Saccharomyces cerevisiae S288C: one gene and its partners. The gene in region 2 interacts genetically with the main gene of each other region. Each region holds a gene or a part of one and is shown on either strand. Other genes may lie near its edges. The genes, in order: MDY2, PEX29, NMD2 and UPF3.

What was found.
Region 1: mutations in PEX29 (region 2) and MDY2 together harm fitness more than expected from each alone (negative genetic interaction), as found in Saccharomyces cerevisiae (3 studies listed by BioGRID).
Region 3: mutations in PEX29 (region 2) and NMD2 together harm fitness more than expected from each alone (negative genetic interaction), as found in Saccharomyces cerevisiae (3 studies listed by BioGRID).
Region 4: mutations in PEX29 (region 2) and UPF3 together harm fitness more than expected from each alone (negative genetic interaction), as found in Saccharomyces cerevisiae (2 studies listed by BioGRID).

The regions. Positions count from the first base shown.
Region 1 is NC_001147.6:107,593-110,736, reverse strand, and holds MDY2 (Mdy2p), read left to right. Parts: upstream 1-1,840; coding exon 1,841-2,479; downstream 2,480-3,144. Other genes in the region: ZEO1 (Zeo1p), read right to left, coding at 99-440; SHR5 (Shr5p), read right to left, coding at 848-1,561; Rab GTPase-activating protein MSB4, read right to left, coding at 2,549-3,144. UniProt on the Saccharomyces cerevisiae protein: Required for efficient mating. Involved in the production of alpha-factor, the KAR9 and TUB1 location to the shmoo tip and nuclear migration into pheromone-induced shmoos.
Region 2 is NC_001136.10:1,414,710-1,418,967, reverse strand, and holds PEX29 (Pex29p), read left to right. Parts: upstream 1-2,093; coding exon 2,094-3,758; downstream 3,759-4,258. Other genes in the region: alkaline phosphatase PHO8, read left to right, coding at 1-418; DIG2 (Dig2p), read right to left, coding at 598-1,569; SNM1 (Snm1p), read right to left, coding at 3,797-4,258. UniProt on the Saccharomyces cerevisiae protein: Involved in the regulation of peroxisome number, size and distribution.
Region 3 is NC_001140.6:251,720-257,561, reverse strand, and holds NMD2 (Nmd2p), read left to right. Parts: upstream 1-1,805; coding exon 1,806-1,811; intron 1,812-1,924; coding exon 1,925-5,188; downstream 5,189-5,842. Other genes in the region: YHR078W (uncharacterized protein), read right to left, coding at 1-1,202; type 2C protein phosphatase PTC7, read right to left, coding at 5,337-5,842. UniProt on the Saccharomyces cerevisiae protein: Involved in nonsense-mediated decay of mRNAs containing premature stop codons. It interacts, via its C-terminus, with NAM7/UPF1.
Region 4 is NC_001139.9:632,430-636,170, reverse strand, and holds UPF3 (Upf3p), read right to left. Parts: upstream 1,868-3,741; coding exon 704-1,867; downstream 1-703. Other genes in the region: U4/U6-U5 snRNP complex subunit PRP38, read left to right, coding at 1-24; mRNA splicing protein SMD1, read right to left, coding at 19-459; ENV11 (Env11p), read left to right, coding at 2,108-3,741. UniProt on the Saccharomyces cerevisiae protein: Involved in nonsense-mediated decay of mRNAs containing premature stop codons.

The DNA of each region.
Region 1 (3,144 bases), on a different chromosome or scaffold from region 2:
ATGTAAAAGGTCAGAATAAACAGCATTTTTCTCCTCTTTTTTTATTTTTAAAAAAAGAAAAAGAAACTTCTAGTAAAGTGCAGCACATTCAAGTGTGATTAGTTGAAAATGGAAGCAATTTTACGGTTCAATTTCTTCAAGAAACCGCCTTCCTTCTTGGTTTCCTTCTTCTCACTGACGGCGGCGGAAGCTTGCTTCTTAGTTTCTTCAACTTTGTTGGCAGCTTCGGTCTTCTTTTGTTCGACACCATCAGCAATGTTTTGTTCTTCCTTCTTCACCTGTTCAGCTTCTGGAGTAGCTTCATTTTTTAGGTTGTCGATAGAAGCTTCAGCTTGTTCCTTTACTTCTTGGCCCTTGTTTTGCAAAGATTCTTTGGTTTCTTCCAACTTTTGTTGGACATCTTGGGCGGCAGTTTCAGCTTTGTTTTGAATTTCAGACATTATTAATTGATATAAACGTAGTTTTGTATGTTTCTTTGATTTGAACTTTTAAGTATACAGAGAAAAAAACCGATCAAAGAAAACTAAAGTATAATGAGGTTAAAAACGAAAGTAATAAAGTAGAAAGGCTATCAAGCAAACTGAGATGATCTTCGACGTAAAAACTCGCTCTATATATATACGCCATATAAGCCCATCGGCGATGGGGGACAACACGAAGAAACAAGAGAAGAGGAGAACCGCACAGAAAGCAGCAGAAACAGAGCAAACCAGCATTAACTAAAGATGATAAAAATAAAATTAGGTAAGAAACCTTAATTGGATATACAAAAATACACTGGAGGCACAAATCGCCATCGATATAAAACACGATAAAGCCCTGGTGCACCCATAAACCACACGTTTAACTATTTGGGTCGGGGCACGACGAAATCTAGGGATAGGCACCCGGACCGTCGGGGCAATACTAGGCGCACACCGCGCTCGTGAAGCAGACCTCCCGGCGAGTTTAGCTGCGCCACGTACTGCTCTAACGCGAGAGACTCCTGAAACACAGGTCTAGAAAGAAGGGGCCCCAAAACCCAGCTCCACAGACCGCCCGTAAGCATATCGAGCAACAGGCCACTTAAGTTACGCCACCCGAACACCTCACCTTCTTCACGCAGCAAGAATCCGTTTACCCGGTGCACAACCTCCGCGAGCTCTGCCGCACTAAGATATTCTGACAGAGGCGAGACGGAGGAGCAGCCAAACACGTGATCCCCAATGTCGTAACGCCCGCACCGCACAAAGCTAGTGCCATCGTCGCCCACGATTGCCGCCGGCTCGCTACCGGGAAGCTGTGTACTAAATTGTGGCGTTTCAAGGCTGCTGCGAGACTCATCGAACCGCCGGGGCACTCGTACCACCCGGGTCACCTGGAACTCGGCAGAGCCCCGAGCAGCATACACATTCGGGAAATGTGTAATACACAATTTGTGGTCTTCGTCGTGCTCTGTGGGTTTAGCGTCTTCGGAACCGAGGTCTTCGTAGAATGAATACGAAAACTCATGGTAATTAAAAAATAACGCCCTTTCGCTCGTATTTGCGTTATCTTCTTCCTTTTGATGGCTATCGCACATCTAGTAAGGGTTAGATTGAGTATTGTCCTCTAATGTAACTTTTTCCTCTTATTCCTCTCCTCCCCTTAGCTATTATATATCTTTTTTACCGAATCTTGAATTAGGAATAGTTTTAAAATCAGGCCGGAGGCCGAGCTTGCGACAACTACGACCAAAAAAAACAAAGGAAAAACGAAAAGAAGAAAACATGCACAGGAGAACATAGTTGGAGAAAAGGGTTAGAACAGACCGATACAGAGATAAACTAGCGAAGAATAATAACTTTATACAAAATTAATCATGAGCACATCCGCCAGCGGTCCAGAACACGAGTTCGTTAGTAAATTCTTGACCTTAGCCACTTTAACTGAACCGAAGCTACCAAAAAGCTATACTAAACCTCTGAAGGATGTTACCAATTTGGGTGTCCCGTTGCCTACTTTGAAGTATAAATATAAGCAGAATCGTGCCAAGAAGTTAAAACTGCACCAAGATCAGCAAGGTCAAGACAACGCCGCCGTCCACTTAACCTTAAAGAAAATTCAAGCTCCCAAGTTCTCCATCGAGCATGATTTCAGCCCATCAGATACTATCTTACAAATAAAACAGCACTTGATCAGCGAGGAAAAGGCCTCCCACATAAGCGAGATAAAACTGCTTTTGAAGGGCAAAGTCCTCCACGATAACCTGTTCTTATCGGATTTGAAGGTCACGCCTGCCAATTCCACAATCACAGTCATGATTAAGCCGAATCCGACTATATCTAAGGAACCCGAAGCCGAGAAATCCACTAACTCCCCTGCTCCTGCTCCTCCACAGGAACTCACTGTGCCCTGGGATGATATCGAGGCTCTTCTGAAGAACAATTTCGAGAACGATCAGGCTGCGGTTAGGCAAGTCATGGAGCGTCTACAAAAAGGCTGGTCTCTGGCCAAATAAGATTAGTATAGTTAGTACGTACATACTTGTTATTTTACACAGTTGCGCTTTTTATCACGGTTGCGCTTACTATTTTCTTCTTTCCTTTGGGCGGCTACTCGCCCTTTGTCTATTTCTCGCCATCGCCACATACTCTCTACCGCGATCAATCTTTTCCTGGGTAATACCATTCAACGCAACCTTCTTCTTCATCAGGACTTTCTCAAAGATATCATTCGGATTGAGCAATCTTTTTGGGAAATTTTGAATCACTTGCAAAATCTCCATATCTGCCTCTTCCTGCGTCTTAATCTTGTTCTTTAATCTTTTGAAAGTTGAATCAGAGTCATTACTACCACCGAAGGTGTACGAAGAGTACTGTCTAAACAGTTTCTGGCTTTTACTCTCCAAAAACTCGCTTTCGCTCAATTTCAGTATCCCCAAAGCCACTTTAAATAAAAAATGAGACTCTTCATAGAATAAACAGTCCCATATTCTCAGGGTCGTTTCGATGGGCACCACGCCCACAAAACAGCTCATAAACCAACTTGCCGTACACAGCGTCAGCGTAGGCAGCCTGCAGAGATATTCTTCCCCCGATGCTGGCCCTGATATCTGGTCAGTGCTGCCATTGCCATTCATATACGATGACTCAATGTGTGACCATATCTCGGGTAAATATTCCT
Region 2 (4,258 bases):
AAATTTCATCAAACATGAGATCCTGGAAAAAGATTTGGGTATTTACGATTACACGGATAGCGATTTAGAAACATTAATTCATTTGGATGACAACGCAAATGCTATCCAAGACAAACTGAATGACATGGTATCATTTAGGGCCCAAATTGGCTGGACCACGCATGGTCACAGCGCAGTCGACGTCAACATATATGCATACGCCAATAAGAAAGCTACATGGTCATATGTCTTGAACAATTTACAAGGCAATCACGAAAATACGGAAGTTGGCCAGTTCTTAGAAAACTTTTTAGAATTGAACCTGAACGAAGTCACTGATTTGATTAGGGACACCAAACACACATCAGATTTTGATGCTACAGAAATAGCTAGTGAAGTACAACATTATGACGAATACTACCATGAGTTGACCAACTGATCCTATCTAACTCTCCCTCTTTTTTCACATATTATTTAATACGTTATAATTTATTTGAATATATATATATATATATATATGTATATATACTAACCGCATGACACGTACTGTATCGCATTTCGTTTCGGAGTGCAGGCGAGTTTTAGGTGCATTCTATAGCGTGAAGAAGTGAAATCTCGTCATTTCTTCAAGTTATGCCATTCAGTCCAGATTGTTTCACATGCTTTCATATAGTCATTTTTGTCGTCGCGAACTTCAAATTTGAAAACATCATCATACAGAGAGATTTCTCCAATAATGATCCTTTCTTTGTCGTTGTCATCATCGGCATCGTCGTTAAGTGAAGCGCCCTCACTTAATGAATTTTTCGTGACAGAGCATTCAATGTCTTCATCAGTCTTACTTATGATTGGGTCTCCGTTGTGGTGTTTGGAGACAAAGGTTCTTTTTCTCGATGTCAAATCTTCCAAGTGTGGTGATCTACCAGCCAACTTCTTCCTCTTTGCATGGTAGTCGGCTGGTATTATACCATTATTATACAAGGGGCCGGGATACATCGGGGAATAATAGCCTTCGTATGCGTGCGTTTGTGTTGGAGTTGAAGAATATGGGTAGCATGGTACTGGTGGCAGTCCAGTATATGGATAAGGGTAGGTTGCTGTCATATATGAATTGGCCACTGAAGGATGATAATCTTGATTCGTAGGAGCCATCCTACCCATATATCTGACCCTAAGGCTATTTTTGTGCTGCGGAAATCTTGTTATGTTTGGTGGAGCACTTTTAGATCCATGCAAATGAGAAGATGCTTGTATATCGGAAAAATTTAGCGCTGGAGGTACCCTTTTCCTCTTTAAAGAATGATTCAGCGACTTAAAGGGTACGGTTTTCTCTGCTGGAGAAGTCGTAATGGTAGGAGGCTTACCACTATGATCTTCCTCTTTTTGCGACAGCCTAGATATGAGCAATTTTTGATTTTTTTCGATATCCCTGGATTTTTTGATCTTCGAAATCATTTTCTCACTCAATCTGTCTTCATCAAGCCCTGGAGATACTAACAGCATTCCCAGTTGCTGCAAATTCCTGGGATCATTTTCCTGAACAGTTGATATTTGCTCTTGCTGTGGGTCTTCTTGCTCTTCTTTATTCATAATTTTCCCTCTTTGCTTAAATATTCCTGCAGGCTTAACTATACCACATAAATACCACTGCAAGCAATAGAAATGAAAAATAACATTAATAACCAAAATTTAAATGGCTGTATGTTTATTGTTTATTTGATCTGCACATTATGTAATTATTGATAATTTAATAGACGTGTCCGCCGGGTGATGAAGCTGTGACATATCACAATTTTATGTGTACCTGTTGTATGTATACGCTCTAATGTCCGATATCATCATACGTGCATCACTTTGTAGCCTTCTAGGATGGCGTCTAGGTGAATACCGCCGTAGTGTTTAGGAAACTAATGTTATGGGTGGTTGTTGTTTCACTATCCAGTAATACTTTTGTGGTGAACTTAAGAAGCTTAGGGGTTACCCCTTCTTCTTGAACTAATTTTAAGAAATAACAACGAGGAATAGTGTGTATTTTTAATTACTGATCAGGCCGCATGAATATACTCACCTGTATACGTAGCAAAATTTCAGTCTCCTACTGTATATACGTCTAGATGGACTCGGTGACAAATTTTTTCTGGAATGACACCTATAATGCTGGTACTCCAACTAGATCAACTCTCAAGGGGAAGAAAGTGCAAAATGGCATAGATGGAAAAAGTCAGGCAAAGAAAGAGAGCATATCTAGTGGTTCTAGAACTAGTGATCCTACACGTGGTAGTCTGCCATCTTCCAGTGGACAGCCAACTAGTGGTGGCGGTTTTCCCTCGACATCAAACATCCAAAAGATGATGGCAGATACCCTGGTAGAGAAGATAATCAAAATGGCATTACCACCATCTTCCAAAACGGCTGTTGATACAATTCACCATCGTATGGTTGCTGGTAAAGAAAGGCCTAAGCTGTCTGTGCAGATCACGAGTAGGAATTTTATACAGATGAACTCGAGACTAGGGGTACCATTCATGATTATGGATGAATTAATAAAGATATTAAACTGGACTAACCCAGCGTATACAGTATCTATCATGTTCTTATACACGCTCATTATATTGAAACCTTTTCAAATGCTTTCTTCGCTCCCTATATTCTATTTGTTATTCTGCGTAATGGTCCCGCAATACCTTTACATTCATAAGCCAAACCCTACAAGCTATCTAGATAATAATCAAACACCAGCACAAGGCCCACCTTTGCGAAGACCTGAGGTTCCTAAACCAGTCCCTGAACTGAGCCAAGAATTTGTCTTAAACCTCACGGATTTACAAAACCATATGCTGCTATATGTTAAATTCTACGATTTTACTTTACTCATATTACAAAAGTTTGCATTCTTCACCAACGAGGCTATTTCGTCGTTTTATTTTATTGTATTGTTAATAATAGCAACATTAAATTTTCTGTACATGGATAAATTTATCAAGCTCATTCCAATGAGACCCGTACTGATACTGCTAGGTTGGGGTTTTTTTATTGCCTCGCATCCGTCCAATCGTGAATATTTGTTGACTAAATTGAATTCGGAGGAGACAAGATTAAAAACTTTGACTATAAGTACTAATCTGGAATCTAAGATTTTGCAGCATTTGAAACTCATTGAGGCTAGGGAGCACCGACTTGTTATGATCTTTGAGATCCAAAAGTATCTTCCTGAATACAAAGAATGGCGCCCAGTTGGATTCTCTGATGACGATTATTCTCTTTTCTCTAGTTTGAGAATATACCAGAGGCGTATTGAGGAAAATTCAGTGAAGTCATTAGAAGAAATTGAGCCACCTAAGGATTGGGAATGGGAAGCCAATTCTCATTGGGTGCTTGATTTGGATCCAAAAGAATGGGTAGAGGACGAATTTATTCAGTATGTCGAGATAGATTCAGAAACAAAATGGGTCTATGACCTCAATCTTGATGGACAAAGGGGCTCATATAGAAGGCGAATGTGGACCAACAGTTGCGTGCGGAAAAAACTGGATTCTGGTATTTCTTCAAACCTTGGTGAGGAGGAAGTAGTTAATCCATTGAGGGAAGAAACATATAGGCAAGGCGTACATGGCGTGACGAAGGGTTCAATGAGTGGCGGTCTAACTCACAGTAGTGATGATGACCGCGCTGATGAGGAAAGTATAAACGGTACTATTCCTAATCTCAACAATATCGACGCGGATGCATCTTATCCGTCAATCGAAGAGCTAACAGACACTCTCAATTCAACTATATAAACTTGATTTGTTATACTATATGTTCACTGATGATACAGTCAACTTTTCATAAAACTTTCTAATGACAGTGACGAACTTTTCTTCTTTTCCATTTTTTTCTCTTGATTTCTTTTCGATAAAAGGTTTGTAAGTGAGTTCAACTTTCTCTTCTTGGATCTCTCCTTACCAGTACTAGTTTTACTCTTTTGGGGCTTCTTTACCGCGTACGAAACCTTCCCGCTGCTGGTACTATTGATCATCGGACTAACATCTTGTCCAAATGTTGGAACAACGAACTCAGATTTCCACTCAAACAATTTAGACTTTTCACAATTCAAGCAATTAACCTGGATACATTTTTTTGGTCCTTCCATACTCTCGCCGCCAAGTTCGTCGGAGTCACCTTGCTCGGTATTAGTCGTTAACTGAAGACTTGCGTTAAAATTAGGAACGTAAACACACCCGCAATGGGAGCAAAATTTCCCACTTTTCAGTTGTTCTGGCAGCATGATTTGATATCG
Region 3 (5,842 bases), on a different chromosome or scaffold from region 2:
AAAAATAACGATATCTGTTTTGTTAACGAATCGAGATCGTGCTGGTAATTGAACCTGAAAAACGAAAAATCCAAAATATTTGCTATCGTAATGGCTAAAGGATCGGATGCTGCATTTTCACTAAAATTTTCATAATCGTAGTCATCTGGATATTTGAGCGAGTGGTATATGATATAGGGGATTCTTTTCAGGAAAGTTATTATTAGTTTATGAAGACAGTATATGATAAACCCGACTTCAAAAGCTTTCTTAAAAGTGCGTACCTGAGGGGACTGTTGTAATAATGCTTCCAATTTCCCAAGCTCCAGTTGATACCAGGCGATTTTTTCCATCAACTCTGCTTTAAAAGTTGAGTTTTCTCCGACCTCTTCTTCTAAACTTCTTAATATTTGTACATTTTGTTCAATGTTGTGTTCATAATCTTGGATTTTTTCCTCTATATAGGCGTCTGTTGTCCATAAGAGAGATTTACTGTTATTGTTGCTGTTGTTGATGTTTCTAAAACTGGGGTCTGACATTGGTGTATTACGAAACTTGTGCCAGATGACTAAAAAGTTGTAGTATAAACTAGAAACAGTGGCTAACCCAGATAGGGAAGCCATGACTGTGACGCCTCCGATGGACAATCTAGTTAGAATATTTTTTGTGTACTGGAACGGTCCAATATTTATGTAACTTAACAGCGCAATAAGTGTGGACAAGATTATGCATGTCACTATTATCAACCTATCGATATCGAACTTGTCATTGTAGAATTTATTCAGTAACGATATTATAATGAAAAAGGGCTGAAATAAAATTAGTATGAAGGATAGCATGATTGCAGTCAGAGGCCACACCCAAGTCGTTATGAAAGTAACTTCCTTGTCCATTCCAGCAACCTTAATCTGCCATAGAATAATCTCTATGGTTACTGTATACGTCATCATTGCTAATGAAAAAAGGACTCGCAGTGATTGCAGTACCTTATGTGAGGGTAAAGAATACTCTGTGTAGAATTTATTTATGAAATTACCCATACTAGACACATCCTCATTCGAGCCAACTTCCATTTTGCTTGCCAACGGAATGACATTTTTCTTCGAGGAAGTTGATATAATGTCAAACAAAGACCCTACTTTAAACCAGAGCCTTTCATAGGAGCATTTGTAAGCAAATGCTCCGGATACGGAAAGCACTATAAATACGATAAGTGCCTCCATCCCGTCCACCACTTAGTCTACACTCAATAGTCCTTTCTAGTGCAGGTCCTGGAGGCAACCGCCAGAGTTGAGATCTTTTCCTTTTCTTTCCCTGCTGGTCAATTTTTATTGTTCAGGACTCGGTCATCGCAGATATCGCAATTTTTCACTCGTTTGAGTCTAGACTGTAAAATAAAACCGAATGGTTAAGCTAAAATAGACTCTGTATGACTAAGTCGTTCACTAAAGTTCATTATTTCATGCCTGAATGACCTTTATCTTAATTATGCACCATCATATAGCGTTTCTATGATCACTACGGGATATTATGATATTGTTAGGGGGTTATATTGAATATTTCTTAGGGCATGAGGATGATATTAGGGTTATTAATAGGTTTACAATTATATAATTTATGTGATAATTATCACTTGATACGAATTGATGGAGCCTGCTTCTTTTTTTTTTTTTCACTTTCTTGGCAGTCACTGAAAAACTGCATTCGAATACAGGTTTGAGAAACTAATGAGGCCCATATTACTTTACAATGAACAGTAACAATCAACTTAAATGCTTAAATAATCTAATATTGTATCTGCATTGATAATACATTGGACAGAAATTATGGACGTATGTTTGATTTATCTTACTGTGGCCAGATCGGCCTTTCAGTACTTCTAAGGTTTTATACTAACTTCTTTTATTGATCGTTGTAAACTACGGTAACAATTATGTATCAACAGGATGGACGGAAAAAAGAATTGCATGATTTGAACACCCGAGCTTGGAATGGCGAAGAAGTCTTTCCCCTGAAAAGTAAAAAACTGGATTCCAGTATAAAGAGAAACACTGGCTTTATAAAAAAACTAAAGAAGGGTTTTGTGAAAGGTTCAGAATCTTCATTATTGAAAGATTTAAGTGAGGCGTCCTTGGAAAAGTACCTATCAGAGATAATAGTGACGGTAACAGAATGTCTGCTAAATGTTTTGAATAAAAATGATGACGTAATTGCCGCTGTTGAGATCATAAGTGGACTTCATCAAAGGTTCAATGGCCGATTTACTAGTCCGCTTTTAGGAGCTTTTTTACAAGCTTTTGAGAACCCCTCTGTTGACATTGAATCCGAAAGAGATGAGCTTCAAAGGATAACCAGAGTTAAAGGTAATCTTCGGGTATTTACCGAGCTTTATTTAGTTGGAGTTTTTAGAACATTGGATGATATTGAGTCGAAAGATGCTATTCCAAACTTCCTACAGAAGAAAACTGGGCGAAAGGATCCGTTGTTATTCAGTATTCTCAGAGAGATTCTTAATTATAAGTTCAAATTGGGCTTTACTACCACTATTGCGACCGCATTTATTAAGAAATTTGCACCTTTGTTTCGCGACGATGATAATTCTTGGGATGATTTAATATATGACTCGAAGTTAAAAGGTGCGTTACAGTCTCTGTTTAAGAATTTTATAGACGCCACTTTTGCGAGGGCCACAGAACTGCATAAGAAGGTCAATAAACTGCAAAGAGAACATCAGAAATGCCAAATAAGAACGGGAAAATTGAGAGATGAGTACGTAGAGGAGTACGACAAGTTACTTCCAATATTCATTAGGTTCAAGACATCTGCAATTACTTTGGGAGAATTTTTTAAGTTAGAAATTCCGGAGCTTGAAGGTGCCTCTAATGATGATCTGAAAGAAACAGCTTCTCCAATGATCACGAATCAGATATTGCCACCCAACCAACGATTATGGGAAAATGAAGATACAAGGAAATTTTATGAAATCTTACCAGATATCTCAAAAACAGTAGAAGAATCACAATCTTCTAAAACAGAAAAAGATTCAAACGTTAACTCAAAAAATATCAATCTATTCTTTACGGATTTGGAAATGGCAGATTGTAAAGATATAATCGATGACCTTTCAAATAGATATTGGTCATCATATTTGGACAACAAAGCCACAAGAAATCGAATATTGAAATTTTTCATGGAAACACAAGATTGGAGCAAACTGCCAGTGTATTCCAGATTTATTGCAACAAATAGCAAATATATGCCGGAAATTGTTTCTGAGTTTATTAACTACCTAGACAATGGCTTCAGGAGTCAATTACATTCTAATAAGATTAACGTTAAAAACATCATCTTCTTCAGTGAAATGATTAAATTTCAATTAATACCATCGTTTATGATTTTTCATAAGATTAGAACATTAATCATGTATATGCAAGTTCCAAATAACGTAGAAATTTTGACGGTTTTGTTGGAGCACTCAGGGAAATTTCTGCTAAATAAGCCAGAATATAAGGAATTAATGGAAAAAATGGTCCAACTAATCAAGGATAAAAAAAATGATAGGCAATTGAACATGAACATGAAAAGCGCCTTAGAAAACATAATTACTTTACTTTATCCCCCTTCTGTAAAATCATTAAATGTTACGGTAAAAACAATAACGCCTGAACAACAGTTTTATCGCATATTAATTAGAAGTGAACTAAGTAGCCTAGACTTCAAACACATTGTCAAGTTGGTTCGGAAAGCTCACTGGGACGATGTAGCTATTCAGAAAGTGCTGTTTTCTCTGTTTTCAAAACCACATAAGATTAGCTATCAAAATATTCCCTTATTAACAAAAGTTCTAGGCGGTCTATACAGTTACCGCCGCGATTTCGTCATCAGATGTATAGACCAAGTACTGGAAAACATTGAGCGAGGCTTAGAAATTAACGATTATGGACAAAACATGCATAGAATATCAAATGTCAGATACTTAACTGAAATATTCAACTTTGAAATGATAAAATCCGATGTTTTGTTAGATACTATCTACCACATTATTCGGTTTGGTCATATCAACAATCAACCCAATCCATTTTATTTAAACTACTCAGATCCACCGGATAATTATTTCAGGATTCAACTAGTCACTACAATTCTGTTAAATATCAACAGGACCCCTGCAGCTTTTACTAAGAAATGCAAACTTTTGCTGAGGTTTTTCGAGTATTATACTTTTATTAAAGAACAACCTTTACCCAAGGAAACAGAATTCAGAGTTTCAAGCACATTTAAAAAATATGAGAATATTTTCGGAAACACTAAATTTGAAAGGTCAGAAAATTTGGTAGAAAGTGCCTCAAGGTTGGAAAGTTTACTGAAATCATTAAACGCAATAAAAAGTAAAGACGACAGAGTGAAGGGATCTTCTGCAAGCATTCACAACGGTAAGGAGAGTGCTGTTCCTATCGAGTCAATCACCGAAGATGATGAGGATGAAGATGATGAAAACGACGATGGTGTCGATTTACTAGGAGAAGATGAAGACGCGGAGATAAGTACACCGAACACAGAGTCAGCGCCAGGAAAACATCAGGCAAAGCAAGACGAAAGTGAAGATGAAGACGATGAGGACGATGACGAGGATGATGACGATGACGATGACGATGATGATGATGATGGAGAAGAAGGCGATGAGGATGATGATGAAGATGATGATGATGAGGATGATGATGATGAAGAAGAAGAAGACAGCGACTCTGATTTGGAGTATGGTGGTGATCTTGACGCAGACAGAGATATTGAAATGAAACGAATGTATGAAGAGTACGAGAGAAAACTAAAGGATGAGGAAGAAAGGAAAGCGGAAGAAGAATTGGAAAGGCAATTTCAGAAAATGATGCAAGAATCCATAGACGCAAGGAAAAGCGAAAAGGTTGTTGCCAGTAAAATTCCAGTAATTTCGAAGCCAGTCAGCGTTCAAAAACCTTTATTATTAAAAAAGAGTGAAGAACCTTCTTCAAGCAAGGAGACCTACGAAGAGTTATCCAAGCCAAAGAAGATTGCATTTACGTTCTTGACTAAAAGCGGTAAGAAGACACAATCAAGAATTTTACAATTACCAACGGATGTGAAATTTGTCTCTGATGTCCTTGAAGAAGAAGAGAAACTAAAAACCGAGCGAAACAAGATTAAAAAGATTGTTTTAAAACGTTCTTTCGACTGAGATTCTTTTGCGAATATAGTTCTTTAAATTTTTACTATATATGCCCACTTATGTTTGGCTCTATTAAATGGCTACGTGTTTATATAGTACCGTTTATGACGCTGTATTTTTATTTACACTGCTTTCCAGGAGATTAAAGAGCGGAGTGTTAGTCAACTCTCACGACAACAACAGTTATATCGTCTTCTTTACCACCGCTGTAGTTTTTGCCAGTTAGCTTAGAAATCTCTTGCGCAAAAACACTGGGGTAATTGGGGTCCTTGCTTAAACTGACAACATTGTCCACAAACTTCTGGGATAATAGCTGTAACTCATCGTTTGTTCTCGCAGCGTTATCCTTCAGAAAAAGCTCAATATCATCTGTGGCAATATTATCGGTTACACCATCGGTAGCCAATATAATAATATCCTTTTTTTTCAATTGGAAGCTATATTCATCAGCGTCTCTGGGGGTGTTTAAAATATACTTGCTACCCCTTCTTTCGGCCTCTTTCAACATTTCTTCTGGAATGATTGACAATTGGTAAGGAGCATTAAATCCAACAGTTTGAAACTTTGTCTGGAATACAAGTTTAGAATCTCTGAAGACTCCACACCAAGAATCACCCAAGTTGGCAACTTCCAATTTTCCATTAGATGGGAAGTGAGCCACAA
Region 4 (3,741 bases), on a different chromosome or scaffold from region 2:
AACGACACCAGCAGCGAATCATAGACCTCTTCTTGGCCTTTTATTCGCTGGTGCACCAAAATCGCGCCTTCTCTTTTTGCTGGGGTCATTTGCAATTTGACCCGATCTTCTTAGGGAATTAAGTTGCTTTTGGTCAACCAAAAGTGAATCCAGGTTCAAGGAATCAGGTAAGATTATCTGTCTTATGGTATTGCCTCTAATGTTTATGTATTGCAAACTTGCTATGTTGTCACTTGCAGTAGGTTGCTGTCCTCCAGTCAAGTACAGACTAGCCATCGCAATACCATTACTGTTCAATTTATTTAGTCGGGGTTGTGGTAGGGTCAACTTCACGTCAGTTAAGATAGCATTCATTTGTGGTGATACCGACTGCAGTGTACCCCAAACGGTGGTACCGTTTTTTAGTTCTATGGTAACCTGCTCATTGCGCAGCTTTTTTAAAAAGTTAACCAACTTCATAATCTTTTTCTCGACGATTTATAAACGATACTTGGAGTCATCTTTCTTCATGACAATTTCATTGTATATGAACATTTCATATATTTTATTATTTTAAATATTCATTGAAAAATCATTAAATACGAAACTCAGAATTTATAATGGGGAATACTTTATGTAATAATATAATCATAAAATATATAATTCTTATTATTTTATTATAAATGTATTCCATATATAATATATAAGAAGCCATGAGCTTTTACTACTTCTTGGTATCATCACGATGCAAAATTTTTACCCGTGGTACGAAAAGGTTTTCTTTAGGTTGGAACGACGGCTGGGTTTGAGCGGATGATGACTGAGGCTGAGAGGAGTTTGATATTTTTAACTTCTCTTGCAAAAGCATTTTCTTCTTCCTTTGTTTCAAAACCTCTTTACCCGCTTCCTCAATAATAACCACATTACTGTTCTTGGTCTTAGAAATGGTGCTTTTTTCACGATTTTCACGCTTCTTCTTGCCTCTGTTCCGTTTTTTCTTTGGTATCTTAGCGGATGCTTCCTCTTCTTTGAATTTCTTTTTGGCGTTTTTATTTTTCTTCTTTTTGTTCTTATTCTTGACCTTATCACCAGTTCCAACCAGCTCTGTTAACACCCTTTCTGTTCTTTCTGCTATTTTATTTTCTAACTCTATGCTTTTTGAGAATTCTTTTTCTAAAGATTTCAATACGCTAAAATCTTGGAATGAGTACTCGTCATTTTCATTCAGCTGTTTCATTGAATTCATAAATGTTTTAAAAATTTCGTCTTCTTCAATTGTTCCTACTAGCGCGGCATCCTTTTTTGATGTTTGAGTGAATTTCTTTACGTAGGGCGACAGTTTCATATCTGGAATTGTAATATTATCCTTATTATCAATGAATTTACAAGTTTTAATGAAATTTGCGCATTTTTCCAAGTCTGATAAGTTGTCGAACAAGAAATTGCACCGAGAATATGTCGAGTTTTTGAATACTTTACTAGAATAATGACCTTCAAAAAAACACCAGTCACTGTACTTGAGTTTACCCTGGATATCTTGCTTATCACCATCATCGTTATTATTATCTCGTAAGATGGCAAAAAATTCATCTGCAGTCAAATTTGGAGGTAGCAATCTAATAACAAGCTTAAATCCTTCATTCTCGGTTGATTTACCCAATCTAGCCTTTCTTTTATAGTTATAATACTCTCTGTTCCTTTTCTTGTTATTCCTTCTGCCTTTGCTATTGTTGTGGGTAGCATTAGTAGCATTATTAACCTTATTCTCATTCTTTTTAGGATCTACCGTCTCATTCTTACTTTTTCCTCTGTTCTTGTTATGATACCTATTTCCCCTGCCTTTCTTTTTCCCCTCACTATTCTTCAATTCCCCAGCCACATTGCTCATGATAGATTACTATATATTTCAGCAGAAATGTAAGTCCCTCAGTAGGTTTTCCTTTCCTCTTTGCTGATATATTCATGCAATAATCATCGACAATATTTTCTTTTGTATCTTACTTTTTAGGCGAAAAATTTTCAACTTTTGATCAGCAAACAATACACAAAATAAATAAAGGGATGATAAACCATAGAATAACAAAAGTCTTCCGAAATAGCATATGTACCAATCTACTCAATCATTAATATGAACACTGCATTGGATGATTTACATGGGGATTTGGTGACTTTAGAAGATAACGAAATCATCAATAATTCTGATCATTCATCTTCTCACTCTACTAGTCATGAGGAGGAAGACGAGGAAGAAGACGATACTGAGGATATAGAACTTATAGAAAAAGACGGCAATAAAATCCTATCAAGTAGAATTCATCCGGAAGACGAAATCATAAATGATGGGTTAAATATATGGATTCCGGTTCAAATGCTCAAGAAGAATATAGCAAAGTTCTGGTCCCATTTTCTAGCAATTGAAAAGAAATTAACGAAAGTTAAATGTAAACATTGTGGAGAGATACTAACAAGAAGCGATGCAAGTTTGACAAAAACCTTTAGATCTCACTTGAAAACAAAGCATAATATAAGTGCCAATAAAAACTTCTATTCCATGAATTTCACAGTAGGAGACTCCAATCTCAAAAACAATACTTCCAGCACAGAAATTACACGTAGACACGGCTATGATTCGTTAACCTTCAATTCCGACCAAAGTTTCAAATGCTTTGACATAGGAAAATTACAGAGCAGTAATTACCTTTCTATTTCCCAATTAGTAGCCATAGTCATAGCCTCAGAAAATTTACCGCTGAACTTCTTTGAGAATGTGTCCTTTAAATCTCTTTTATCAAAATTTCATAGGATCCCTCCTTTAACTACCAATATAATAGAGGAGTCAATTATAGGGTTGTCAAAATCAATTGATGAGTTGATCAGAAGGTCTATATCAAGGAATGATACACAATTACCCTTTACTATCCATTTATCCGATAGTAAGGAATCAAATCAACCTCTTTACTTGAAATATTCTAGGGAAATTCGGGCACAATTGTCTAACTTGGACTTATCCCATCTTATTTCTGTAAATTTTACAGAACTGGCTGGAAAAAGATCATTATTTTCTTTGCAACTGTTCGATAATACCAACAAAGTTTCGAAGGGTTTACCATTATCTATTTTTGTACGTAAAACAACGGATATAGATATTAGTGTCTGGCAGGAACAGCTCAACAATTTGTATTCGAAATACCCTGGCTTACAAAAATCGGTGATTTCTATAACTTTGCCTCAAAGCCATTATACAATGGTACTAGAGAATAGAAACAGTCATAATTTTACTTTCCATAGCGGGAGTGTGAGGGAGATAAAGTACCATACTTGCATAGTATCTGAATTACTTCATTGTTTTTTACAGCCGTTGTTTAATGTTCCTACTGAATCAATGCTGTCTTCCTTTTCTGTGGCCAAAGAAAATCATTCAGGAGGCTCTTTGTTAGACTCATTAATAGATTTTTCCCATATTGATTTATCATCTACTATTCTCGGCAAAATATGCTGTTTGATAGAAGAAGTTAACTTAAACGACTCCCTAAAATCGGATTTCCTATTATACTGCCAAAATTATACACAACCTAACTGCAATGAACTTACTTCAATCCTTTCCTGTAACTGCGATAGATTTTCAGCTTTGAAGAGTATCTTAGAAAAATTTGCAAACTTAGTTCCTTTCTTCAAGTCTATCAACTCTCATTTAGAAAATGAATCACTTAGTGAATCCGATTTTCGTCTAATAAACACGGTAGAAGAGACGTTAAGAACTTT